7 linked regions of the Xenopus tropicalis genome follow. The protein of the gene in region 1 interacts with the protein of each later gene in a pairwise test. Links are inferred from orthologs where the notes say so. Each region holds a gene or a part of one and is shown in the gene's direction. Other genes may lie near its edges. The genes, in order: ppp1cc, ppp1r3c.1, zfyve9, ppp1r18, tprn, sfrp1 and aatk.

Evidence for each region.
Region 2: the proteins of ppp1cc (region 1) and ppp1r3c.1 interact in binary tests that used the Homo sapiens proteins (3 or more experiments, as listed by UniProt). The link is inferred for Xenopus tropicalis from reciprocal best matches to the Homo sapiens genes PPP1CC and PPP1R3C.
Region 3: the proteins of ppp1cc (region 1) and zfyve9 interact in binary tests that used the Homo sapiens proteins (3 or more experiments, as listed by UniProt). The link is inferred for Xenopus tropicalis from reciprocal best matches to the Homo sapiens genes PPP1CC and ZFYVE9.
Region 4: the proteins of ppp1cc (region 1) and ppp1r18 interact in a two-hybrid assay, tested with the Homo sapiens proteins (2 studies listed by BioGRID and IntAct). The link is inferred for Xenopus tropicalis from reciprocal best matches to the Homo sapiens genes PPP1CC and PPP1R18.
Region 5: the proteins of ppp1cc (region 1) and tprn interact in binary tests that used the Homo sapiens proteins (3 or more experiments, as listed by UniProt). The link is inferred for Xenopus tropicalis from reciprocal best matches to the Homo sapiens genes PPP1CC and TPRN.
Region 6: the proteins of ppp1cc (region 1) and sfrp1 interact in a two-hybrid assay, tested with the Homo sapiens proteins (2 studies listed by BioGRID). The link is inferred for Xenopus tropicalis from reciprocal best matches to the Homo sapiens genes PPP1CC and SFRP1.
Region 7: the proteins of ppp1cc (region 1) and aatk interact in binary tests that used the Homo sapiens proteins (3 or more experiments, as listed by UniProt). The link is inferred for Xenopus tropicalis from reciprocal best matches to the Homo sapiens genes PPP1CC and AATK.

Annotation. Positions count from the first base shown.
Region 1 is NC_030677.2:162,953,133-162,957,199, reverse strand, and holds the start of ppp1cc (serine/threonine-protein phosphatase PP1-gamma catalytic subunit), read left to right. Parts: upstream 1-1,267; 5' UTR 1,268-1,445; coding exon 1,446-1,500; intron 1,501-4,067. UniProt on the Homo sapiens protein: Protein phosphatase that associates with over 200 regulatory proteins to form highly specific holoenzymes which dephosphorylate hundreds of biological targets.
Region 2 is NC_030683.2:37,168,156-37,172,334, reverse strand, and holds the start of ppp1r3c.1 (protein phosphatase 1 regulatory subunit 3C), read left to right. Parts: upstream 1-1,379; 5' UTR 1,380-1,388; coding exon 1,389-2,330; 3' UTR 2,331-4,179.
Region 3 is NC_030680.2:96,601,196-96,604,695, forward strand, and holds part of zfyve9 (zinc finger FYVE domain-containing protein 9), read left to right. Parts: intron 1-616; coding exon 617-772; intron 773-2,240; coding exon 2,241-2,465; intron 2,466-3,483; coding exon 3,484-3,500. UniProt on the Homo sapiens protein: Early endosomal protein that functions to recruit SMAD2/SMAD3 to intracellular membranes and to the TGF-beta receptor.
Region 4 is NC_030684.2:75,522,123-75,526,061, reverse strand, and holds the start of ppp1r18 (phostensin), read left to right. Parts: upstream 1-1,139; 5' UTR 1,140-2,831; intron 2,832-2,873; exon of another isoform or gene 2,874-2,995; intron 2,996-3,517; exon of another isoform or gene 3,518-3,566; intron 3,567-3,939.
Region 5 is NC_030684.2:1,727,052-1,731,292, forward strand, and holds the start of tprn (taperin), read left to right. Parts: upstream 1-1,441; 5' UTR 1,442-1,631; coding exon 1,632-4,241. UniProt on the Homo sapiens protein: Essential for hearing. Required for maintenance of stereocilia on both inner and outer hair cells. Necessary for the integrity of the stereociliary rootlet.
Region 6 is NC_030679.2:126,995,824-126,998,337, reverse strand, and holds the end of sfrp1 (secreted frizzled-related protein 1 precursor), read left to right. Parts: intron 1-1,275; coding exon 1,276-1,598; 3' UTR 1,599-2,014; downstream 2,015-2,514. UniProt on the Homo sapiens protein: Soluble frizzled-related proteins (sFRPS) function as modulators of Wnt signaling through direct interaction with Wnts. They have a role in regulating cell growth and differentiation in specific cell types. SFRP1 decreases intracellular beta-catenin levels.
Region 7 is NC_030686.2:26,607,591-26,611,653, forward strand, and holds the start of aatk (serine/threonine-protein kinase LMTK1), read left to right. Parts: upstream 1-1,263; 5' UTR 1,264-1,396; intron 1,397-1,537; 5' UTR 1,538-1,572; coding exon 1,573-1,648; intron 1,649-1,721; exon of another isoform or gene 1,722-2,080; intron 2,081-4,063. UniProt on the Homo sapiens protein: May be involved in neuronal differentiation.

The DNA of each region.
Region 1 (4,067 bases):
AACTGCTGGGAGCTTTGTATTCATTCTAATAAAAATCTTAAAGAAACAATCCCCTTTTGTGACAATACTATGAAATAAAAAAAAGTAAAGGGGTCAGTTAGAAAGGCCCTTGGCACAGATGCAAGAGCACTAAAGGGCACAAGGGCTTATCTACCGAGCACTTGTGTCCAAAGTTGTGCTGTTTTTTGCAGGGAGCACCAGATCAAACATTTAGAATGGTGTTAGGCTGTTGGCAGCCTAGTCCTAACTTTCTACAACATATTTATTTCAATACTGGTGTAGAGATTTCAATTAACACTAAGTTGGTAGGGTAATAATTATTCACCCTGGACTAGTTGAGACACTGGTCTCCTGATCTTCAGGTGTCTGGGTTTCCACTGGCCAAGAAATTGCCAAACCTCCTGGCTGGCCCTGGCCCTGGCCAATGTACAGAAGCATTGATACCTGCACGTTTCTTCTTGCGTTACTAAGCCAGAAAGCATGAAGTCAGGGAGTACAATTATTTGGGGCAAAGGCTTCTGCAACTACTGAGAAAAAACAGCAATTAATGTATTAAATGTGACAGCTTAGGCAGCAGCACTGCCATCAGATGGGACAGAGGGAAATTTGGTCAGGGGCCTGATAGCAAGGGCTTCTCACAAGAGCTGATCTGAGACTTTTGGGCTAGTGGGTGAAGTCTGGGCTGATTGTGGACAACTTGGCAAAAATGGGAGTGAATTCGGGTTTTTTTGGAGCTCCATTGTACTTTTTTGCAGGATCCACTGCTCAGGTGTCAAGGAGTAGCCCCATAATTACTGATGGCAACCCTGTTAGGAGGCTACCAAAAGGTATTTCTGTGTATTAGTTGAAAACAATAAATTTAGCTGACGTGAAGTAGCCATATCTATTTTTATTTTACGTGTATCGTTTTTTCAAAATTACTAAGTATTTCACTTTGTTTTGGAAATTACACCTCATTCAAATATCATTTACAAAACCTAGAAACCCACAGAATGATCAAAGACAATGTCACTGGATCTTTTTTAAAACAAAAACAACCCTCACACGTGTAATGCATTCCTAAAACCGATAACGGTTACCATTTTTTATATACGCAGTACTAACTTTTGGCACTAGAGAAAAAATAGTCCTAGCTCGCAAATACGGCCAAATTTCAGAAACGGCTGGCGCAATGAAACACAGCGTGGGTTGAGATTTGACTGTACGTGCTATCGCCTGGGTCTTTAAAATGTACCAGGTCGTGCATAGATATTCATGCGCGGGCCGGCAGGGGAGGAGGTGGCGCCATTTTGTCAGGTTCTTGGGAGTCTGTAGCGGAAGACGAGCGAGGGGGATTGAAAAGCCGCTGCGGCGCCAAGACTGCCCCCTGCCCGGTTTCCAGTACGTTTGGGCTTCTGTTTTTATTGCGACAGTTTACTGGGTCCGCCATTTAGACTTTCGGAGCAATGGCAGATGTTGACAAGCTTAACATCGACAGCATCATACAGCGACTGTTAGAAGGTGAGGATGGTACTCGGGAAGGCCTGGCCGGGTTTCCTTACACTCTGTCACTTTACTTTCATGTGGTGGCAGGGTTGAAAGGGTTGCCATTAGCTATGTATGTGAGTGAGCAATGATGTATACACGGTGTTATTATTGGGGCAGCGGGGTTTGTAGCATCCTGGCTGGGCTCCTTGTGCTGAGATTGATATGGCAGTTGGAGCGGCTGTCAGCCTGCAGTTGCGTTACGGAGCCGTTACCGGAACAGGACTTTATTCTATACTCCGGTACATACAGGGTGCCGCTCTGATTGCTCATAGTATATATCTAGTTAATCAGGCTGTTGTACGAGTTATTGGCCGGACTGGCCCAATATACATTGTATAGAGGCGATCCGCTGGCTCCTAGCCGCTGCATGTGTATTCCATGTGCAGAATCCGGATTCACCCAGTATATCCGATCCTTAACACTGCGCAGCGCTCCATACACCTGGGAATCGCAGCGATCCGTATAGGGACCAAGGTGCTTCAGACTTTAGATTGAACTATGATTATTGCTCACTCCATAGGGGGCATGTTGTGCATTAGCTGATTATTTCCATTTGCCTTAGTTGACCTTCATAACTGTGTATATTGCCAATAGGTGGGGGTTATCCTGACCCTGTGCCACAGCTGTGCTGCTCTCACTCGCAGCTTTACTGATGCACTATATGGGGGAGTTGGAAGAATAGATTGTGTCATTTTGTGTAGTTTGCCTTTAGTTATGGGCAATGGGTGAGCAGCAATGACTGGATCTATTTTCATTTGTTGTTCTCATTAGTAAATTAATGCTGATGTGGTGTGACTTTAATGAGGAAATGTAAGCTACTAGCTCTGTGTAGAGGTGCCATTACATTTTCTTTTTTTTTTCTCTAACACTTTTTGCTCCTCGGTTCTCTATTTGGCAACTTAGGCTGCAATTCCCTTGTGGGGTTACAGGTCCTTGCAACCAGTTACTTGTTTAAAGGGCAACTGTGATAGGAAAATTGTTTACGGCTAATAGACCCTGCAACTCGGGTGGAAGAAAGCAATACTATTAGTGGGCATCTATTTATGGTATATAGTCTATATACATATATTTATGTATATGTAATGAGTTAACTGACTTACTCATTGTGAACATTCCTGTTGTGATGCACGCATTCGCATGAATGTGCCAGCTTATGTTTAGGCTCCAAATATGGCTGCCCACTTTACACTACCTCCTGGTGTGGACAGCATAGCCCTATTACATACAAAGCCAAAGTGTTTTTTGGGGCAAAATGTATAGTTTGCCCCAACCAGAATGCAGGCTTAATTAGCCCATATTTTCTGCGGTGAATGCAATTTTCTTGTTTTCTTTCTACTTCAAATTGAAGTACAAATAGTGAGTAAAAAAGGACATAATAAAAGCCTTGCAATGATTCTGAATTCCTAGTTCACTGACTTGCATTCACATGGCATTTTAGACCTTCAACTGTGAATATAAAGTAAATAAAAGTCAAGATTTTAATTGTATAAATCTGCAGCATACTAAATGTTAATGACTAAAATTCTGTAGGCTGATATGCTAATGTATTTGTAAGGGCAAAATATAAGTGGTTGTGTCCAGACAAGACAATGAAACCTTGTTGCTCCTATATTTTACATATATTAAAGGGGCATTATACCCAGTTTTCACCAGTAAAAAAAACATTGGCTGAGCTGGAAAAGAAAAAGGGGGTCAGCAAAAATATTTGCTTGCCCCAACACTCCAGCTGAAACCGAAGTTCTCTTGCTGTAGGCGATCAGATTCTTCAAACAACTGTCGTACCACCTTCTGTAACTATTAGTCTAATATTTAGGCGCAGGCCGAGCAAGGCTGGATTCCACCCAGCAAAAAACACATGGGGAACAATAATACCTCCTTTCTCAACATTTGTTTAATAAATAGGGGCTGAATATACTTATGTCTTTTGTTTTAATTGTGAAAAATCTCATTTTTATTTTGTGAGCTAAACAGGAAAACTGAAGCTATTCCATGTTTGGTCCTTGCGAGGTAGATTTTTAAAAATTGAAATGGGCAAAAAGTGTTCCGTAGAAGACCTATTTATTGATCTATTGTTAAACAAGGGGGGATACTGCACCTTTTAATGGAGACATATTGGATTTTTGAAAGTCACTCTCGTGTTGGTAACAATGAATAATATATGGTGCCTGATTCAGTGCCCTTAAGTGTTTACTCTGAAAATGTCACATTTAGAGAAGCTACCCATAGATCCTCTTGTCTATTACAAATGAGATGTGGGCTTGTCCTGACTTCTCCAATTTAAATATTGTGGAACGACCTAACTTAAACTGTTCATGTGAGGAAACCCACAAACATCCAAAAGCTGAAGCTGTTCTGTATAGAGGAATGGGCTAAAATTCGATGTGCAGGACTGATCAACGTTTGCTACAAACATAAAACATGTTTACATTTACTAATTCACGAACGCTCCGAGCGTATTTTTGGTGACTTTTTCGTACTTTGCGACAAAATTTGTGCGACAAAATCGTATTGTCGCGCTGAGTAAGAACGTTTTGGATACA
Region 2 (4,179 bases), on another chromosome or scaffold:
TGTCTTCAGCACTACTGTGAGTAGAGAGGTACCTGATTCATATGTCTATTTTCTGCTAGTTACATTGTATGGGCAAGATACAATGGTCTTATAATGTCATTTAAAAAAAGTGTGTTTATCAGACTTTCTTATGCACTGACTGTACCATGGTTTATAATTAAATATAAAAAGTGTAATAATGCAAAGGGAAATGCCTAATGCATGTATATTTTACGTTTAATAGTGATTGCATACACTGAAGTCCATTTGTATGATTGATGGTAAAGGGATTATGGTTCTTACTGACCCCAATTCTGTATCAGTGGTTTTAAGCTTTATATATACTAGAAATTGCCAGCTTGTCTCCTGCATCTATGCATAAGGTCTTTTCTAGAGCTGCTGGGATTTGTAGTTTAGCATTAACCACACACTTTTTAATGTGGGCAGCTCAGTCTGCTGCAAGCAGAACTATCAGACAAAGTTGCATGGGGGCTTTCTGTGATTTCTGTTCTACTACAGAACCTGCAAAGTGCAGCACAATGGGTAAAACTTAGCCTTTGTAGGGAATGAGCAGAATACAGTGATGTCTGAGATATATGGTCAAGTGCCATCCCTTGATATAGTCGAATTGATGTGTTTAAAGAGTTGAAAGATTTCTGAAATATATACCATTATACTTGAAGGTTCTTCTGTACTGAGTTTGTTGAAGGTTAAAATGATATGTATATAAATTATTTCCATGGACATGTAGGTTCTTTGAGTTCAAGATACACAAATAATTTGCAGGACTGAGAGTCATTTATCCCAGCAAGCATGTCAAAGAATTTATTTATAAGGATTTAAAGTAGACAGTATCTTATTGTAAGCTCTTTTGGGCAGGGCCCTCTTCACCTCTTGTATCGGTTATTGATTGCTTTATATGTTACTCTGTATGTCCAATGTATGTAACCCACTTATTGTACAGCGCTGCGGAATATGTTGGCGCTTTATAAATAAATGTTAATGTAATGTAATGTAATTTCAAGCTTATTTTACAGTAATAAGTCACAGCATTATTTAATGATTGTACATGTTATTAAGTCATGACAGGCTATCAATATTAATAGAAATATTGATACTAATGATGTAGACTTCAATACCATAATATACAACTGACTGTTTTAAAATAAATAACTTTGCATACAATGAGACGTTTTTTATTTTGACAATTAAAGACCATAAGGGGGCACTGCAACGCATCTATTATCTCCTCTAGGCAGATATTCCTTTTTATGTGACGCAGTTCATGGTTTCATTACAGAATAGTTTTAAATGGGTAGCTCAGACAATATATTCTTAAATGTTTGTGAGTATGTGCACATTGTAGACCAAAAACATAATTTTATCTATGGGTTTTATCTCTTTACAGAATGATACAGATTTTGGAACCCCGCTCTCTCCCACGATCCATAATGCCTGTAGATGTGGCAGTTAGGATATGCCTAGCACATTCTCCACCGCTAAAAAAATTTCTCAGTCCCCCTGATTGCAGGGGAAGAAATTTTGTGAACCGATATAAGCCACTAAGACCATGCCTCAGTCTGAAAAAGGAATCTGATTTCAGGAGCAACGAGTGGAACCGCTCAAAGTCTAGAAACAAAAAGAAGGTCATCTTTGCTGATTCCAAAGGACTTTCCTTAACTTCGGTGCATGTCTTCTCAGAGTTTAAGGATGAATCTTCATTAGATCTTCAGTTTGACCTGATAGACCTAGAAGATATAACAGCCAGTTTAAAGCTGCATGAAGAGAAGAACTTGATACTGGGATTCACTCAGCCTTCAGCTGATTATCTGCAGTTTCGCAATCGCCTTCAGAAGAGTTTAGTCTGCCTAGAAAATTGCAGCCTTCAGGAAAGATCTGTTGCAGGTACTGTCAAAGTAAAAAACCTGAGCTACAAGAAATCTGTCAAGATTCGTATCACCTTCAACACCTGGAAATCATTTGTAGATGTTGATTGTGTCTACATGAACAACGTCTATGGAAGCACTGACAGTGACACATTTTCCTTCGTCATTGACATACCCCCCAACATTCCCAGTCATGAGAAAATCGAATTTTGTATATCCTATGAAAGTGAAGGGCAGGTCTTCTGGGACAACAATGATGGACTGAACTACTCAGTGACACGTGCAGAATGGAAATCAGATGGTGTGCACACACCTACCCCAACTAAAACAGAGATTGCATCATATGACTATAAGAAGAAACCACAAAACAATGACTTTGATCAGTTTGGCAGCCCCAGAACATCTGCTGGTCTGTACCCCGAATGGCAAAGTTGGGGTAAAATAGGAGGATCACCTTACTGGTGAAGAACATTGTTGATGTTCTGCTTTATTCATTCTCATCGAGACATCTCGGTGCTGATGAGACATCATTTGCAAACAAACAAATGAAATTCTTCAAATAAAGTAACAGTGTAAGGAAAGCTGATAGCTATATGTTCACAGCCATAGCTTAGGACAGTACGCTTTTCACAAGCACGTTGTCAAAACACCATATGTACTGCCTTTGTCCACCATAGAAATAGAGCGCTCAGTGCTGATGCCAGCTGAATCTCTGGCGTTAGTCATATACACAGAATATACATTTGTGTAAGGCTAATATGATGAGCTATAAACACAGCAGCTTGTAGTAACCCATATGAGGATAGTTCTTACAAAGAGGGCATCGGATAGAATTCAGGACACCCTAAGGATATGACAATGAAGATTTTCATTCATCCAGGTCATGGTATATCTATTATAAGTAAATACTTAGACACCCTAAGGAGTTTTGCAGATATGTGTTTTAGGATGAATTTATGGTACGAAATGGCTAACGATACAACCCCTGAAGGTTGAAAAGCTGAAAATACAAAGAGACTGTCAATGCAATACTTACATAATGATGTTTGAGTTGCTATCATGTATTTCTAGTGACCTGCCAGTAAGCGCGAAACGCACCATACACTTCGGAAAGTAGTGTTAGGTTTCATTTTAAAAGCTGGACTTTTAAAACCTTTCACAGACTCAGTTTAAATAATGTAAGATCATACAAGGTGGCTCAGAGATGTGCAACTGGTATCCTTGTAGCTGTTGTTATACTATAATTTCCACTAAATAATACAACAGCAACCAATGTATCACACTTTGGACATCCCTATCAAAATTTTTATGGATGTGACTAAAGAATGAATAATTTTGCATTGGAGGCAAGAGTACAGAAAGTCTAAATGCACTAACCAATCCAGTGCACTTTTTTTGGTAAGGGAGGGCCCTGCAATGTTGCTTTAAGCTATCCCAACAAATCTGCTTTGATGTTGTAAAAAGTGCCTTTTCTAAAAGATTGCCAAAAACCCCTTTAATACAGAATTGTAGGTTTCCTGAATATAAAATAGTCAGTAGCAATGCTGTGCCATTTAGTAAACTGCAAAACCAAACTGCATAGTTACACTACATCCCTTATATATTGTCAATTTCTGAACTATTTCCCTTCCCACTCTTGATCCCACTTGATGCTAGAGGTGTGTACAACATAGTGCCATGCAATGCATCTGTCCACTCTGGCCCACTGGGCTCTGGCAAACCTAAAACAAAGGATGTATTATATTGGAAGATTACCAGATGTCCAACATTTTAGTGTTATGTGTAAATAAGGAGCAACCTTTCAGGATAATAATACCCTCATTCTCCCTGCCCTGTAAAAAAAAATGCACTTGTTTGTAAGCAATCTGTAATATTCCCTGTCTTCTATGTTTTTTGAGATAATTACAGAAGTCAGAAAATTCAATTTCCTTCATATTGAAGGTAACGCAAATCGCTTTTGCACCTTTATATGTGAATTTGGTATTTGATAGAATTGTAGGTTCCTTAAAGGATGAAATGATTGTAGTCGATATTTTTGCACATCAGATAGTCAAACCTTATTTTCCTTCTGAAGAGTAATGACAGCTTTTTATGAAATACCTTTATGGCGCAGAGAATTATGTTTTATTTTCTCTATTCTTCCTTTTTCTCTCAATAGAAACTCTTGCACTTTTTACATGAAATAGCTGAGCAGTGTATTTTTCTATTTTGTAACTGGCTTAAATGTGTATTTTTTGATGTACAGTACCTTCGTAAGCTGACAATATTGTTTTTTGGTGTCAGAATGAAAAAAATGAGCAGCGTTCTTGACTGT
Region 3 (3,500 bases), on another chromosome or scaffold:
AAACTTTGATTATGACTTTCTTTCTAATTAATGCAATATGGAATGAGTGCATTAAATTGGACCTAATATTTATGCCCAGTTAATGGCACTAGGGAAGGATAACATACAAACAAAGGTGCTAAAACCGCACCAAGACCATGACTGCTGTACATGCCCAGTTTGTAAGACTATGAGGAAGCTTCCTGCTGATTGACTCAGATGACACATTCCTAAGGGGGGGAGGGAGTTCTTAGCATTCTTGAGGGAGGTGGGAGCAGGAGAGGGGAGAGAGGATAGAGCTGCCTGTCTCTGGCACAGGAAAACAAAGAGACAAAAAATCCCGTTTATTTTGACAGAGAAGTCAGTGCAGCGTTTCTGTGAGTGCTTATGGCTGTATTTACATAGACCTTTCTGATAAAGCTTACTTAGTTTTTAACTTTCCTTCTCCTTTAACGGTCGTCTGCTGTAGCCCATTGACATTTGGAATCTCTTTTTAGCTAGCCCACATCACTCTTGCATATCATAGATATTAATATTGGTGTGTCTTACAATGTTACTGTTTCCATGGTATTATTATATTATATCTGTAAATATATTATATCTGTTGGATGTGTAAAATTATTTTTGTTTTTTGCAGATGTTAACAGGAAATGCTGGTGCTTTACTACAAAGGGAATGCATGCAGTGGGCCAGGCTGAGATTGTAATCCTATTGCAGTGCCTGCCTGATGAGAAGTGCCTGCCGAAGGACCTGTTTAGCCATTTTGTCGAACTGTACCGGGAGGCGCTTGCGGGTATGGAAACCAGAATTCTAAAGTAGCTGACTATTTTGCAGTTGGTGGGAAGAAGGCTGTAGTGAAGTAATATTAAAGTTGTTAGTGTATTGAACATAGATTAAAAAAGGCCAGTAATGCTATTTAACTGTTGGAATTTTGTATTTCACATTTTGATGTATAAATGCAATGGAGATACTTTTTTTTTTAGTTTAGTTATGCCTTCTTTAATAGCCCAGAATTAAAAGGTTTAGGTTCTAGGGATGCACCGAATCCAGGATTCAGTTCTTTATTCGGCCAGGGTTCGGATTCGGCCGAACCACATCCGAATGCATATAATATATATAATGCATATAATTAGCACATGCTAATTAGGATTTGGAAGGGTTAATGTCGCCACATAAACACTAAAGAGTACACGCACTGCAACGTTTAACCCTTACAAATCCTAATTAGCATATGCTAGTTAGGATTCGGTTCGGTATTCGGCCGAACCCAAAAAACTGGATTTGATGCACCCCTATTAAGAACATCTTAAGGGTAGCCAAATGCTGGCATTTACAGGTTGTACAGACATATACAGTTGTACATCTATAGGCGTTGCAAAACACTATTCTTGCGTTTGTTAGGGATAATAGCCAAAGCAATTTGATATGACAAGAAGGGAGGAGGACACAGACAGCAAGGTGCATTACCAATTATCAATTGCTATCTAAGTTTAACACTTGCTATGGTTTTTAAGGCGTAACTAAGCTACACTGTTTACATAGCAAATAATTCACTCTACCATTTAAAATTTTATTAATGAACCAACAAATGTTTTTTTTTACAATATCAGTGTGTAGGCCGCCATCTCAGTGCATCATGTCTGAGTCTGGGCTTTCAGAAGGAGCGAGTGCTACACATTGGTATTGCTTTCAAGTAACCTATTGTTTTCTCCTGCTCCCATGTAACTTGAGGAGTCCCAAGAGGGACTTGGATTTTTTTTTTTTTTTTTTTTACTATTGAGTGCTATTCTGATATCTACCACTTTTAGCAATACAGCTGTCAGGTAGCTGCTATCTTGCTACCTTCCCATTGTTCTGCTTATCGGCTGCTGGGGGAGAAAGGGCGGGGTTGATATCACACCAAGTTGCAGCTCAGCAGTAAAGTGTGACTGCAGTTTATCAGAGCATATGATTGTGGCACCCTGTGAATTGAAGAACATAGCTAGCCCATGTAAAATTTCAAAATGAAACAGGTTTTCCCATTAAAGTATTTCTTTAAGCACAGTTTGCTCTGCACCTCTTTTCTGTCAGCTTCATGTTACTATAAATACAGTGTCACACATTTGTACAAGGAAGTTTTGGAACTCAGTAGGATAGTTTATACAAATGGAGGGCAGAATATTAGAATAATCAGACATCTGTTTTAGGCCTTAGCTCCATGTATTGTTTGAAAATTGACTTTTGGGTTTTTAACAAATACATTTTGTCATTGTAATTCATAGGTAATGTTGTGGGGAATCTGGGCCATTCCTTCCTGAGCCAGAGTTTCCTGGGTAGTAAGGAACATGGTGGATTTCTTTATGTAACGCCGACCTACCAGTCTCTCCAGGACCTGGTTCTTCCTGCAGAGCCGTACTTGTTTGGAATCCTTATTCAAAAGTGGGAGACTCCATGGGCCAAAGTGTTCCCCATACGGCTTATGCTGCGTTTAGGTGCAGAATACAGATGTAAGTAGAATTGTGGATTATTAGTGAAAACAATATATATATATATATATATATATATATATATATATATATATATATATATATATATATATATATATATATATATATATATATATATATATATATATATATATATATATACACATAACTCTACAAAATCTGGTCCATGCTAGGTAATTGTCTATATTTTTAATGCTCATTATGCATCCAGCTTGAATGTTACCTACAGTTGGGTTTCTGATATTGAATGTAGGTAGTATTAAAAGGTAGTGAATATAAAAGAAAAGAAAATGGGTTTATTTTCTTTTTTTTATATTCACTACGTTTTAATACTACCTAAATTCAATATCAGAAACCCAATTGTATCAGAAAAACAAGCTTCTTTTATCAGATATAAAGTCTATTGTCACTATATTTAGACTGTGTACAACAGTAATACTTTTACATATTATTACCGAGGATATTAAAATATGGACGCATGTTAATATCTAAAAAAATAAATACAGAAAGAAAAATTTCAATTGTACCTTGTATTTTTAAGGGCAAAGACACACAAGGCAATAAGTTGCCGCAACTTTTTAAAAAAACAAAATCGGCAATTTGGTCGGCGTTTTAAAGTCGCGTAGACTAATCGCCCTGTGTGTCTTTGCGCTGAAATTTTTCAACTTTGATAGATTTATGTGTCTACTTTAAAATTGTATATTTTTATGTTCTAATTAGTTATTTTAATTTTCAGTATTGATATTCCCTCACTGTCCTCTTTCTTGGCATAACAGCAAGAGAGTTATCCACAGCTTTATAAACCCAAGCAACAATGCCCCAGACCAAATGTTTGGGGCTAGGCTTCATAGGGCTGTGGATCACCTTTCTTCTGGTTGTAAGGATGTCTTGGAGAGTTTACAAATATCTTGATCATTACTTTTTATCTGTAGCTGGTGAAAGAGGCTAAAGTAACATACAGTGTCTGGATAAGCAACACCTATTTCATTGCTTTCACAGTTTTCCTTTTACCTTATAGTGTACCCGTGCCCACTC
Region 4 (3,939 bases), on another chromosome or scaffold:
TATGGTGTACTTTTTATTTCTAAATTACACTGTTTACATAGCGCATAATCCACTCTTACCAGTTAAAATTTTATTCTTGAACCAACAAATGTTTTGGGGTTTTTTTTTATTGTAATATTGATGTGTAGGCAGCCATCTCAGTGCATTGTGCCGGAGTCTGAGCTTTTAGAAGGAGCCAGTGCTACACATTAGAACTGCTTTCAGGTAACCTATTGTTTCTTTTACTCCCATGTAACTGGAGGAGTCTCAAGCTGGACTTGGATTTCTTACTATTGAGTGTTATTCTGATATCTACTGGGAGCTGCTATCTTGCTACCTTCCCATTGTTCTGATGATCAGCTGCTGGGAGTGGGATGATATCACTCCAAGTTGCAGCTCAGCTGTAAAGTGTGACCGAAGTTTATCAGTGCACAGGTCACATGGCTGTAGCACCCTGGGAAATTAAGAATATGGCTAGCCCCATGTGAAATTTTAAAATTAAATATAAAAAAAAAAATCCTGTATTTTTAAAAAATGGATTACAATGCAGGATTCAGCTGGAGAAGTTTCATTAACATGCATTTTGAAAAAAAAAAACATGGTTCCTCATGACAGCATTTCTTTAAACTACAAATTTGGCTTAATTCTAGTATAGAGTGCGGTTGTGCCAGTTGGACAGCACTGATGTACACAATGCCTATTGATCTGGTTAAGGGAAGAGTACTGCAGCTAATAGCAATGACCATAGCTTTATCTATATCTATACACAGGAATGTTAACTGGCTCCTTTATAAAACTGATCATAGTGTGTGTGAATGTGATAGGGACCCTAGATTGTAAGCTTCAAAAGGGGCAGGGCCTGATGCAAAAGTATATAATATAGTATGTAATCTCTGTAAAGTACAAGTATGGGACCTGTTATACAGAATGCTCGTAGTTTTCCAGATAAGAGATCTTTCCACAATTTAGATTTCCATACCTTAAATCGACTAAAAAAGGTACTTGTATTGATTGTATTGTGTCCAATAAGAATTAATTATATCTTAGTTGGGATGAAGTACAAGGTACTGTTTTATTACTACAGAGAAAAAGGAAATCATTTAAAAAAAAAATAGAATTATTTTCTTATAATGGAGTCTATGGGTGGTGGGCTTCCTGTATTTCAGAACTTTCAAAATAAAAAGATTTCCAAATATCGCATTCCATAAATGTACTGCAAAATAGGTCAGCGCTATATAACTACAGGATAAAAATACTTGGAGTAAGAAGTATGTTCAGATTGTGATGGATTATATTTTCCCTAAATAGGATTGCTAAAAACCTTGTAGCATGGCGCACAAGCCCAAATGCATTATGCTGAATGATCAGGTTATACACAAAATAAATGCCAATGGCTAAGGCTATGATCACATGTAGCTGTTTTTTGGGCTGCATACTGGGTCAGACTGGGTTGTGCAGGGCCCATTAGTTTGCCGCCCCAGGGGCCTCAGCAGTGGCCTCCACACCCCCTCCAGGGGCACCACAGACCAACTCCATCCCTCCCAAGTGTGCTTACATTATACCTCAACACGATCAGGGAAAGGAGATCATGTCTGGGTCGTGGAAGCCCACAGAGTTAGTCCAACTCTGGCTGCATATAAATGCAGATGCAAGTAGCAGCTCAACCACTCAAATCAGCCTGGTCTGGTATCTGTGCTAATAAGCACTGCTTCAGCCTGTGTACAGTCACAGAGCAGATTTCAGTGTGAAAATGCATATTGACACTTTTCTGTGCTGAAATTCACTTTGTGTGCAGGTGAGTGGTTCATCTGTTTCTTGGCCTGCATTTATACACAGACCAAAAACCAGCTTTGTGTAACTGTTGCCTATGGTTCAGTTTCTTATACTTTGTGTGGCTTTCTAGTGTTCAGTCTGTAAATTCACCCTAACCACGCATAACTGAAGCACTCTGCATTAAGTTTTACATATGTATTGTATTGTGTTGTGTCCGTCCATATAAATAGTATAAAATATAATACATGAGGTAGCTCTTATTTCATGCACAATTTGCCTTAGTAGTATGTTATTAAACTCAAAACAAACATCCAAAAAGCTAAAACTTCTTACTGTTTAGGATATTTATGTTAAAGCATAAATAATCTGTCATGTGCTGTTGCTTAGTATTTTTTTCCATTAGTCCCATCCTGTCCCCCACTGTTGTGTGTACGTTGTACTGATTTAGTATCTTGAGTATAAAAAATACAGAATGTCTGTGTGTGTCTTGTAGTGGATATTTAAGAGCAGTCTTTGCTTTTTTTCACAATAGGGCATTAAAATGATTTTTTAAAAACTAAAAATCCCAGCATTTTCTTAAAACAAAGCCCATTTGCCTTACCGATGTCAATAGAAAAAAGTACAGTGCTATGTAAGGGTTAACTTGTCTGTAGTATCTCCCCCCACCATCCTTCCTCTCTCCACCCTCCCCCTTTACTCTTAGCATTATGCATAGCTGGAACCTCACCCTCCACCCCCCTCTCTCCTTCTGTCTGATTCAATCCCTTCTTCCTACACACCCTTCTCTTTCACTCTCTGGGAATTCCTCTCCAATGCAAAGGTTGCCCAAGCTATAAGTCCCTAGTCTTTACATTGTACATCTGTATTTGCTTTAAGGGTCTGAAGGAATTGGGCTCACTTGAAGACGTGTGACGCTTTGGGACTTTCCACAGAGAAACGCTACATATTCTTATGTTTTTGGGTTTAAGTTTAACAAAGGAAACTGCTCCAGACATCAGTTCACTTCTCCTAACATCAAGGCATCCTGCTGGGCTATAGGATGTATTAGAGGGGATTGTGCCTGCTTACTCACAATAAAGGTATGTAACATATCTGACTATATCCTGTGGGTTTCTGCATGTCATTTCATATGTGCATACAAGTACAATGAGATCACTTTTGCGCACTCTCACTTCATATCTTCCACCAACTTGTCCTCTATTCTATTTCTTTGGTGCCACTATAAAGTGTGATTCCCACTCTAGTAAGTATTTTTTGAGAGAAGAACATACTCTGATTTACCTTTTGTTTAAATCCTCACCAATCGCTACAACACAGGTTATGCAGTATATTTTCATACTTTAGTGTTATTTGTGCGATAATATACAGTCTCCTACATACATACATAGACAAACAAATATATAGACTTAACATCCTTCTCACTGTTTAAATCTATTTTACTCGGTGCATAGAAAGTACTGCTGTGTATGCAGCTGCCTATTTTTTTGCTTTTGTCTTTACCTTCCATGAATCTCCTAAACCTTAGCGATGTACATCTCCTCCGTTTTCTGTAGAACTGTCAGTGCATCTCCCTCTTTCCTGTTTGCCCACTCATCTCTTGCAGGCATGTCTGAATTATTTGTATCTAGTTCTCCTATTTTGCTTTTTCTCCCTTTTCAGAATGTATGTTTTACATTTCTTTGTCTGGTTCAGCAGTATGGCTATCTGTCAGTCTAGACAATTCCATCCTCCTCATTTTAATTTGGTTGCTCCAATTGTTCCACAGATCTGTATCTGAAGAGTTTCCCAACTTGAAGACCAGACAATTATAATCTGTAAGATTTTGTTTGTACCATGAGAAAAACAGATGTATAAAGGTTGATACTAAACAGTTTTAAATTTTAATTCAAAATTGTAATGCCTTATACTGAAAATACTTTCAGAACCTTAGTTACATTATCTAGACCCTTATTTTGTATAAAACATTGCAGAATTGTTTTGTCCATACATTTAATTAAGCCCTCTAACAGTGTATTTCAGCCTTTTCTTACCCCCATGCTTATTTCTCTTTTTATTCTGCGTATCCTCTTTCTCTTCCTCTTTCTCTTCCTCTCTAATGAACTCTACACATGCTTCTTTATATGTCATTTGACTTTTTAAGTGTAACTTTCTTTTTTAGCTGTATGAAATTATTTTCCTGTCATTACT
Region 5 (4,241 bases), on another chromosome or scaffold:
TCCAAGATCTCCATTCAATAAAGTTCCCAAGTTCACGGTGCAAGAAGGACGGTCATAGGAGGGGTAATCAATACTATTGCAGATATTCATTCAAGGGGAAGAAAAGATGATACAGAGGGACGGGGAGAGAAGCAGAGAGATAAAGAGAGACACAGGCGGGCGCTCAAACCTTTCCCCACTGAGGGTCCCTGGAAAGGAAAGAGGAGAGCCCCAGCACCGTGATATAAATAACAGTATCCCACACTCCCCTCCTTCCCACACAGCGGCCAATTCAGACATGTGAAAATTCCTGGCAAGGCAATGTTTGGACTAATAAGACTCACCAGCTGACGTGAACCTTGGAACCCGCCGGCAAAGCTGAAATCTGCTGCTTTGTGTTGTGACTCCATATAATCAGCCGTTCCTCCTTGGTACAATCAGCGCTTCTGCCCCATGGAACGCCAGCTGGCACTCGGGTATCTCTCTGCCGCTGTGGGAATAACAGACTTTGTCAGATAGTGACTACTACTTGGCTCACTACTGCCTATATATATATAGATTAACTCCAAGTGTGTCTGCACTCTAATGCCAAATTCAAAAAATGGGTGCTATTGACCAAAAACTGTGTAAATACTTGCAAAAGAGGGTCAGCACGCTAATATATAAAAATAGTGATCATTTATTTAATTGTATTACCCAACGTTTCCGTCCTTACCCTAGCAACCAGGCAGCGGTGTGAATGAGAGGCTGGAAGCTAGACAGAACAGAGGCCTGAGCAGGGTCAGACCCAGGGGCTACCCCAGGGGCCCCCATACCCTCTCAGGGACCCCGACTGCCAACTTACCCACCCACTACTGTGGCAGTAACAGAGGAGGGTTACCCTGGGGAAAGTATATACAGGTAGTACCACAGGAGGGTTACCCTGGGTAAGTATATACAGATAGTACCACAGGAGGGTTACCCTGGGGTAAGTATATACAGATAGTACCACAGGAGGGTTACCCTGGGGTAAGTATATACAGATAGTACCGCAGGAGGGTTACCCTGGGGTAAATATATACAGATAGTACCACAGGAGGGTTACCCTGGGGTAAGTATATACAGATAGTACCGCAGGAGGGTTACCCTGGGGTAAGTATATACAGGTAGTACCACAGGAGGGTTACCCTGGGGTAAGTATATACAGGCAGTACCGCAGGAGGGTTACTGTGAAGTAAATACGTATACAATTGCTTACACAGCAAAAGATAGACAGTTGCCCCGGCAACATAATTGCGTTGGAAATATTTGCGTTTCGCGCCTCGTTATGAAGTTGGAGATTTGTTGTTGTACCATGTGTTCTGACGTAAAGCCTCTCACTCCGCCCACGGTGGGAGGCGGAGAATGAATTGGGCGGGGCTTAGCTAAGTTTTAATTCAGCGTGCAACAGGTGTAGGGGCGGGGCTGCTACAGAGTGACCGACAGCGGGGGTGGGCGTATGTGTTGTGTTGTCACATGGTATGGAGGGGGCGTGTCAGCTTAGGGAACGAGAAGGATGTGGGCGGGACTAGCTTGACAGGAGCTGTGTCCCTGCACCTGAGCTCATTCAGTGAGAAGCTGCCGGCGCGGCGGGACCAGGGAGCTCAGGTGTCTGTCCCTTATCGCCCGCAGCCATGTCCGTCACCGCCCGCCCCTGGCTCCGGCCCGAACCCCACTCTGTCAGCATGCCGGCTTGGAAGCGAGAGGTTCTGGAGAGGAAGCGGGCCAAGAAACAGGGCGTACCTGCCGCAGCCCCGGTGCCTTGGAGCCGGGACGGGTCGCCCCATCGCAGGCGCTCTGACAGGGGTCGCAGCTCCGGGAGAAAATCCAGCCCTGGGGCCGGCAAGGCAGTGAGGGCCCCCAGTCCTGCAGCAGCAAAGGCAGTGAGGGCCCCCACTTCAGCAGCAAAGGCAGTAAGGGCCCCCACTTCAGCAGCCACAGTCAAGGGAGTGAGGGCCCCCAGTCCTGCAGCCACAGTCAAGGGAGTGAGGGCCCCCAGCCCAGTAAAGTCTGCCAGATCTCCAAGCCCAGCAGCGGTAAAGCCCGGCAGGACCTCCAGCCCCGTAGCCGCCAAGCCGGTAATGGCCCTCGGTTCCGCAAAACCCGCCCCCGTGAAACGGAGAAGCGACGACGGCGAGCGACTGGTCCTGCAGGAGAGCCTGGGGCCCCTCCATGAGAACCCCTTTATCCGACTCGAGCAGGAGCGCAGGCGAAAGCAGCCCAGGGAACCCTCCCCGGCCCCCACCCTGCTGGAAATGTATAGCAACGTGCCGGGCATCCGCACCATCCGGGCCGAGAACATAATCATCATCGAGTCCGACCCTGGGTATTTCAGCGGGACTAAGAAGCAGGAGCCCCACGCCGACCCCGTGGAAGCGCTTCTGGCCAAGAGCGGGAGCAAGGTCACTGCCATCAGGGCTTCCGAGGTGGTCATTTACGAGACCCAAGAGCCCGGGCCCCAGAATGTCGAGAAGGAGAGCAGCGAAGTGCAGGAGGAGGCTGGGAGAGTGAGTAGGTTGCTGGAAAAATTCGGCCATGGCCACGGCAGGCCCCCGAGGTCTAGGAGTTGGGACGATATTCTGGATAGAAGGTCCAGCCCATCCCGAGATGATAGCGATAAGATGCCAGCTTTGCCAAAACAGACAGCCCCACAGAGGCACAGCCAAGCCACGGTTAACAAGGCCCCCAAGCGCTACGGAGAAATCTCCCCTTCATCCAATTCCTTCTCGGAGGAGGAAAGTAAACGCTTCCCACTTAACGACCCCTCGTGGCTACCTTCCAAGCCTGTCCTTACCTCCTCTGCTCTATTGTATAAAAAGCCTTCCAGCCCCACAAGCTCTCCAGTAACGTCACCTGGTTTATCACCTTTTCCACTCTCTTCTCATAACGATACAGACGAGAAAGTTGTGTCACCCAGCGTGGCAACCTTCAGGGAAAGGTTTGAAGCCGGCTCCACTGCAGACAATCTACCCCTACCCAAACCGCTGAATGCCACAAAGAAGTCTGGAAATAACACCTTCATTGTCTACCCAAAGGCTGCCTCCTATACCAAGGCTAAACCTTCAGAGACAGTTGGAGTACAGCCTAGCGATGCCCCGGTGCTTACAAATGGTTATGTCGACCATCCTGATGGGAACCCTAAGCCTAAAGCACAGGTCAGTGTCCAAGATCTCCTATCCAAAACTAAGTATAACCGGACCTCTTCTGCAGAGAGGGCCAGTGAGGAACACAGAAAAGTGCCATCTGCCAGTGTTTCCGCAAATCATATCTCCAAGGTTGACAACTCAAGGAGGCCAAAGTCCGAGGCAGACATTTTTAATAGTAATTCCCCTCTAAAGTCTAGTGCCACTCAATCAGAAACCACTTTAGCTGATCAATTTAAACCCACTTTGGCCAGTGCCACCCCTAACCAACAAAACAAGGTCTCCTCCTCCACCAGCAGTAACAGTTCCTTTGAGATCAGGCCCGCCGTAATAACCGATCCCAGCAGCATCCCAGAAGGGGACATCCAGGCAAAGGCACTAGCAAATATCCGAATGCAGTCTAGAAATTCTTTTGTATTCATCCCAAAGAAAAGCAACCCCCCTGTATCAAAAGAAGACCGCCACGAGGTGCAAAAATCTTCCAAAGAAAAGCCAAAAGTCAATGCACCCACCACTAATGGCCCTAAATTAGATTATAGAGACTTTCCTAGAGACAACGGTATACTGTCAAATGGACTGCCTCCATCTCAGACACTCCAAGAAAACACTGGTAACGATATAGATAGGATTCAACTGGAAGTTAATGGTGGGACCCAAAAAGCATGCAGTGTGCCCTCACTTTCAGACTTTGATTGGCAGAGTGGTCTTTTGCCATCTCATTCTTCCACAGAAGGCCATTCTTTTACCGACAAAGGGGCAGAACTAGAGTATTTAAGTAGTGTACATCAAAACAATAAGGTGGCCCACATTCAGGACAACGTCCACCTTACACCCGATATCCCTATCACAAATATAGACGATATAGTGAATTCAGACGTAACGGATGGGGGCGTTCAGGCCAACATTACCGTCAATGGTAACGATTCCCCATTGCCTTCTTACCGGCCTCACACTCCGCTGTCCTCTTCTGTCCACAACAAATCTGGCAACACCTTCACTGTAGTGCCGAAAAGAAAGCCAATTACAGAACAGGAGCCCTTACCAAGACCCGTGCTAGAGGAAGATGAAGATGTGAGCTCTAAAAGGAAATCTTTGGACGGG
Region 6 (2,514 bases), on another chromosome or scaffold:
CCATGTCGGCAGCTTATTGCTGGTTTTCCTTGAGATGAGTATATGGCTCATTTTGTGTAACATTTCTGCCCCATTCCAAGCATTTTGCCTAAGCGTGGGGGTACTGTACCAGTTTGATGGATGGTTGTTCAATCTAGTTGAATAAACTGGCTGACCAAAAGGCCATTTTTAGGGACAGAAAAGTAATTCTACAGTACTGTATAACTGCATGTTGTTTGCAACAAATAGTCAAAGGATCACAAAATAGACCTTTTACAGCAGGACTTGCAGCCAAGGGAGCCACAAGACAGTGAAAGCGTAAGAGTTTTATTGTATTGGCTACACCATTCAAGGGGGCTGGGTGCTTCTGTACCCAATTCAGGGACAACAAATGGGTAAAATGGGGAAAAGGATCCCCATTGATAAAACAAAAGTAAATGCTCTGTATATGCTGTATATGGATATTTGGAAATGACCTGCAGTCCATTAAAGAGCAATGACCAAATATTGAAGCCCTCTGTGTTTGAATAATGAACATTACATAATTACAGAGCAAACACTACACCAAATCAGTGCTCTTGCCACTGTTTTCCCAGTATTTGCCCTTGGCCAGAGTGCTCTGAATTCAAGTTGGTTGGTTTATACAATAGGCTTTATATCCAAAGTGATAGTTGGAAAACAGCCAAGGTCTGCTGGAAGATGCTGGGATCTGTAGTTAAAGAAGTGGGGAGTGGGGAGCGGTTTATCCCAAGTAAATTTTGTCTACAAAAATGCATTCTGTATACAAAAAAACAAACCGTATTATAGAATGAACATGTGGCCATATACATTGGTAAAAGATATACAAAAGACATATTTCTAATGAAGAATGAGACCAAAATCAATTTTGCACACAAAAGAATATATTTATATTACAAACTCCATTCTATATAGGTTAAGAAGGATTCTGTCACAAGCTTCTATTTTTTCATGGAAATCTAGCTGGAATATGCTATTTATTTATACCATTATATATTTTGTTCAAGTTTTTATTTACATAATTCATAATAAAGTAGCTTTACACATAACTGCTGACAGAATGCACACATTCATTCTATGTACTGGGGATTGTGTCTGTATACAAAATGTATTTTTGTAGACAAAATGTGTTTGGGACTAATAGCACCCCATAAGAACCAGACCTTATCATTAAGGATTGTGGGAGTATTAATTCACAGCCACTGGGTCATAGAACTCCCATCACTGGGTTGCCATAACTGTTTTCCCAATGTCTAATTATTTGTTTTTATTTGACAGCTCTGAAGGTGTCTATACGGGAAGTGAAAAAGGAAAATGGGGACCGCAAGTTGCTCCTCCGAAAAAAGAAAGCTCTGAAGAAAGGACCAATTCAGAAAAAAGACTGGTCGGACCTAGTCCTCTATCTAAAGAATGGCGCCAACTGTCCTTGTCACCAGCTGGATCAACTGAAGGGACAGTTCCTGGTCTTGGGCCGAAAGGTGAAGTCTCAGCATCTCCTGACTGCAATACACAAATGGGACAAGACCAACCGAGAGTTCAACCGCTTCATGCGCAAGGTCAAAAAGAGCAAGTGCCCCAAACCGCTCACAGCCCCCCATTAAAGACAGTTCTGTGTGCACCACAAACACCCCTCTAATGCTCAGAACTCCACCGAGGGGGTATACAATGAAACATGGCAGTACCCTTCCAAATTCTGTGGAAAGACTGCAAGAGATGTAGAAGTCTGTACAGGGCGTGGAACAGGGCATGGTCATACTTCCGAGGGTGCCATACCCAAGCAATGCAAATACCCCTGCATGATGTTCTCTAAAGGCTCTTCCTTCTCCATCACCAAATCCCTTACAGGCCAATGCCTTGTGAACAGTTGGGTTATTGGGTTATACACGCTGCCTGTATGAATATGTTCTCTTAGCATTGTGTGCAATGTCATTATCAGTATCTAATGTACACCTTAATTCAGTCACTTAGTAAGTCAGATGTTCATCATGTTCTTCAATAAACACTGTGTATTCTCTCATTAGTAATGGCAATGTGATGAACTTTCTTTGGATACTGGGGCAGAATGTATGGAGAAAGCAAATGATCAAAATAGCTTCACAGTAGTTTTTATTTTAGCTACCTTCTGCTTAAAGGGATGGTTCGCCTTCAGGTTAACTTCAGCCGTCTAGAAGGTATTGACTAACTACTCCTAAAGTTGCCTTAAAGGGCTCAATGACTCCCAGCCACCCCTGGGAGACCAACCCAGCCCTCATTATTAGAATCCACAATTGTATATAGTGTTCCATGATCAGCTCTGTATTCGAAAAATGAGCACAGAACCAATCATTTACCTTACGTTCTGTTGTAGCAGAACACGGTATAACTTTAAAGGTGATTATACAGATCCACTCTACACACCCAACCTATAGGTTCAGAATCCTTGGAGTTTACATTTGTATTATCGTTGCAATTTTGCCCTACTAAGCAAGACAGAAAGAAAATGAATTATTTTGAATTAATATAATACCCACCCTATCA
Region 7 (4,063 bases), on another chromosome or scaffold:
CAAGCCCACACAATGCTTGAGAAAAAAACAATTTTCTAAGGTGCCAGATATGTGTCAGGACCCATACATGAATCAAATATAGGATTGCCACCTTTTGCGGTGGCTAACTCTGGGCAGGGGGGGGTTGGGGGGCGCGTGACGTCACAGGGCAGGACAGTGATGTCACATGGGTGGGATTATGACATCACAGGGGTGGGGCTATGACCTGGCGATCGGCAATTGGCCGATCACCACCTTAATCTCAAATAGTCCTGCCTGGTTCTCCAAATTGGGGAAACCGGGCAGGCGGTTTTGACCAGGACAGTCCTTCTGAAAACCAGGCTGTCTGCGTCAAAACCAGACAGGTGGCAACCCTAGTCAAACAGCTGCCAACTCAGTATGGAGGGGCTATGTCAGCAGTTTATACTGGCCCATGTAGGTAGGTAGATGGGTAGGATGTATATGAGAAAAAGGTTGAACTTGACACTTGGACAATATTCAATACTTCAGTCCTGAAACTTAACTGAGAAATATATTTTATATGGTAAAAAAAATAAATATACATATATAATAATTATAAATATACATACAAATATATATATGTCTTAATACAGATATATATATATATATATGTCTTAATTACCAAAATTCTGTGAGGCTCTCTCTGTGAGCATAAGGCCTTTGGCACAGCAGTTAGAGGCTTTTTGCCCACAGTGATTTTATCTGCTTCCCTGCTCAATGGAAATCAGTGTCCTACGGTTGGTGTCTGCCAACTATTTCATGTTCAGAACAGTATTTAAGCATACGACCGATATCCAACCATTCGTCGGAAAAAGACTAAAAAATTTGGCATTTTGGGTGAAAGTAGTAAAGTGGTTAAAAAGAGGATATTGCCTTATGTCTATAGGTCCAACATCTGATTTGTCTGATAAATTTTATCAGACAAATCAGATGTTGGACCTATAGCCGTAAGGCAATATCCTCTTTTTAACCACTTTACTACTTTCACGCAAAATAAAATCAATGTTTGCCATGATTGTACCAGATTACACCTTTATACACATAAATATTGACATAACAGCTAAAGCTGAAGCAGACAATAGATGCAGTTGGAGGAAGACACAGTGAGTAAATGCAGAGAGCACAGTTTCCCGCCTGGCAGTGCCTGTGTGTGTCAGGAGCAACACTGGCTGCTACGCTTGTGCCCTGCATTACCGCAGCTCGGCAGCTGAGGGCGCTCTAAGCAGCAGAGGATGGAGGAAAGACGTGTGTGTGTGTAAGGCAGAGAGTAACACAAATCACCCAGCAGCATTGACAGTGCTCACGACTCCCTTTTAGCCTATAACCCTGCATTACACTTCCAGCCATTCTCGGCAGCCGACTAGCGTCTCTCCCCCTGCTCTGCCTGCGGCTCAAGGTATCTGCTCCCTGAGGATCCCCCGGAGAGAGGATGCTGCTGAAGCCGCTGCCACCCACCCACCCTTGCCCCCACCCTTGCCCCCACCCTTGCCCCTTCACTCTCCTGCTGACCCCTTATTTCTGATTTCCCATGTATTAGTGCTCTGATGCTGCTTCTGCACCTGATGCCTGGCAATGGGCGGCCTCCTTGCTCTGATCATGTCCTCCCTGTTCAACCTCAGCTTTGCCTTTAGCTCCCACTTCGACTCTGGTAAGTTATAAGCGGCTTCACCTCTCTCATTCCTTTAGATTTAATGGAATTTGTTTGCCTTTAATCCTTCCCTCCTGAGATCCTAGAGACAAACCCCAGACTCCCCTCCCCCTCTTTCTGCATATCCCTCCCCTCTGCGGATTGATTGGGGAGGCAGGGGAGCAGAGGTCTGGATGGAGAGCCCTGGTACCTGCTGCCTCTGTGCTACCCTACTGCTGCTGGCCCATTCTGGCTACTGAGCCCCCTGTCCTTGTAGCCCAATGCTGGATCCAAACCAGGGGAGGGTACCGTGTGGCTTGGGGATTGTGAAGGCTGCTGCAGAATGACATGTGCTGGGGATTAAACACTGTGTCTGTGGCTGCTGCAGGATCAGACAGATCATTTATCTCACACTGGACTGTAGGATGGACTGAAGCATCTTAGGATATTCAGGTAACATGCACTCACCCCACTTTTAACATGTGCGTCATGCACGCTTCCCTTTGGTGTGGCCCCTCTTGCAGCCCTCCCACAATCACATATTTATGGACCTTGTTGGTAAACAGAAAACTGTAGATTTCTTGCTGCTGGCTTTGAAGGTTATATTCACACTAACTAGCATATAACGGGCACATCCTATAATTATATATATATAATGTAGTCAATATGTAGTCTCTATCATTCCAATCTCTCTTATGTAAGAACAGCAGCATCAACAAATGCACAGCTTTATATAGTATGGTTACGTTATCATGCACGTGTCCATTATTTTTCAAACTGATGTGATCATGTATAATTTGTGTATACAGAGTAATATATATATGTATATACCAAATGTAAGGCAATCTGTTGCAGTGTATGCTGTTATAGAGGCCAGGACTTGTAGGGGCTTAATGGTCGGCTTTTCATGGAGCAGATATTGAAAATAAAAAGATTTTTGGTACTTAATAGGTGACAAACAGGAGACAAATGTTATTTATGGCAGTAATGTAATGCTTTCTTTGTGTATGTTGATCAGCCAGTTGTAATCTCTTAATGTATGTAAAGTATTCAGGGTTTTTTGCATTTGGCCTATAAAACGATGGCTAATTCTGACCTGGTTGGATATAAATACCCTAGAAATGATAAATATGTTGCATTTTTGCAGTCTGAAGAAAGGTGCAATAAAGGGGTAGTTAACCTAAAATGTAACTTTTCAAATGAAAACTACATTTGTAAACTTCTTACATTTTTGTTGTGTAACCATTGGGCTTGAAGTTTTAAGAGTTATTAGTCGGTAGAGAGCCCGATAAGATAATTAAACAATAAAAACAAGAATATCTTAACTGCCATTCTGTTTTGGTGTCAGTGACCCTAGGCAACCTGAAGCCACAAAGAGGCAAATAATTAAAAAAAAAAAAAACATACAATATAAAAAATGAAGTCTTTCTATAACATACTAAAAGTTTATTCAAACCCAAACTTCCCCTTTAATGCCATATTAATCAAAAAGATTTATAGTACAGTGTTTGCTTTTTAATAATATGATGGTGGCCTGTTTTATCTGACAGTTCTATAAGAAAATAGTTCAGAGTTGATTGAGTGTAACTTGTCTCCTCACATACTGTTTGGTCAAAGTGATGTAGAAAAGCATGTGGGCCTGGTTAGTAATGACAGTGCAGTTTAGGGCTCATACACACTGGTGCATAGGTTTTTACTGCTTTTTGACCACATTGTAAATGTATTAAAAAACTGCACGTGTTGGCAAGATTCTTCACTATAGTATGGCTAAAGGGGTGATTCACCTTGGAATTAGCTTAGTATGGAAGACACAGTATTATGATACAATTGCCATTAGCCTTTATTTTGTTATTTTTATGCTTTTGCTATGTTTTACATTTTTTAAAAATCAGTTTTGAAATCACTTTTTACATTATAAGCCTCTCACAGAATGTATAAAGCAGGCATCCTCAAACTACGGCCCGCCAAGGTAATTTACCCGGCCCCCATTATGATCTGACACAAGGACGCAGTGGGGAGCCGGAGGACGCAGTGGGGAGCCAGAGGAAGCAGCGGGGAGTGGGAGGACGCAGGGGGGAGCGGGAGAACGGAAGTTGCAGGGGTGAGCCGGAGGATGCAGGGGGAGCCAGAGAAAGCAGGGGGAGCTGGAGGAGGGAGGATGCAGGAGACAGTCAGAGGAAGCAGGGGGGAGTCAGAAGATGCAGGGGGGAGCCTGAGGAGGGAGTGGGAGGACGCAGGGGGGGGCCAGAGGAAGAAGGGGGGAGCTGGAGGAGGGAGGATGCAGGGGACAGCCAGAGGAAGCAGGGGGGAGGCAGAGGATGCAGGGTGAGCCAGAGAAGGGAGCGGGAATATGCAGGGGAGAGCCAGAGGAAGCAGGGGGGAGCCAGAGGAAGCAGGGGGGAGCTGGAGGCAGAGGATGCAGGGGGAGCCAGAGAA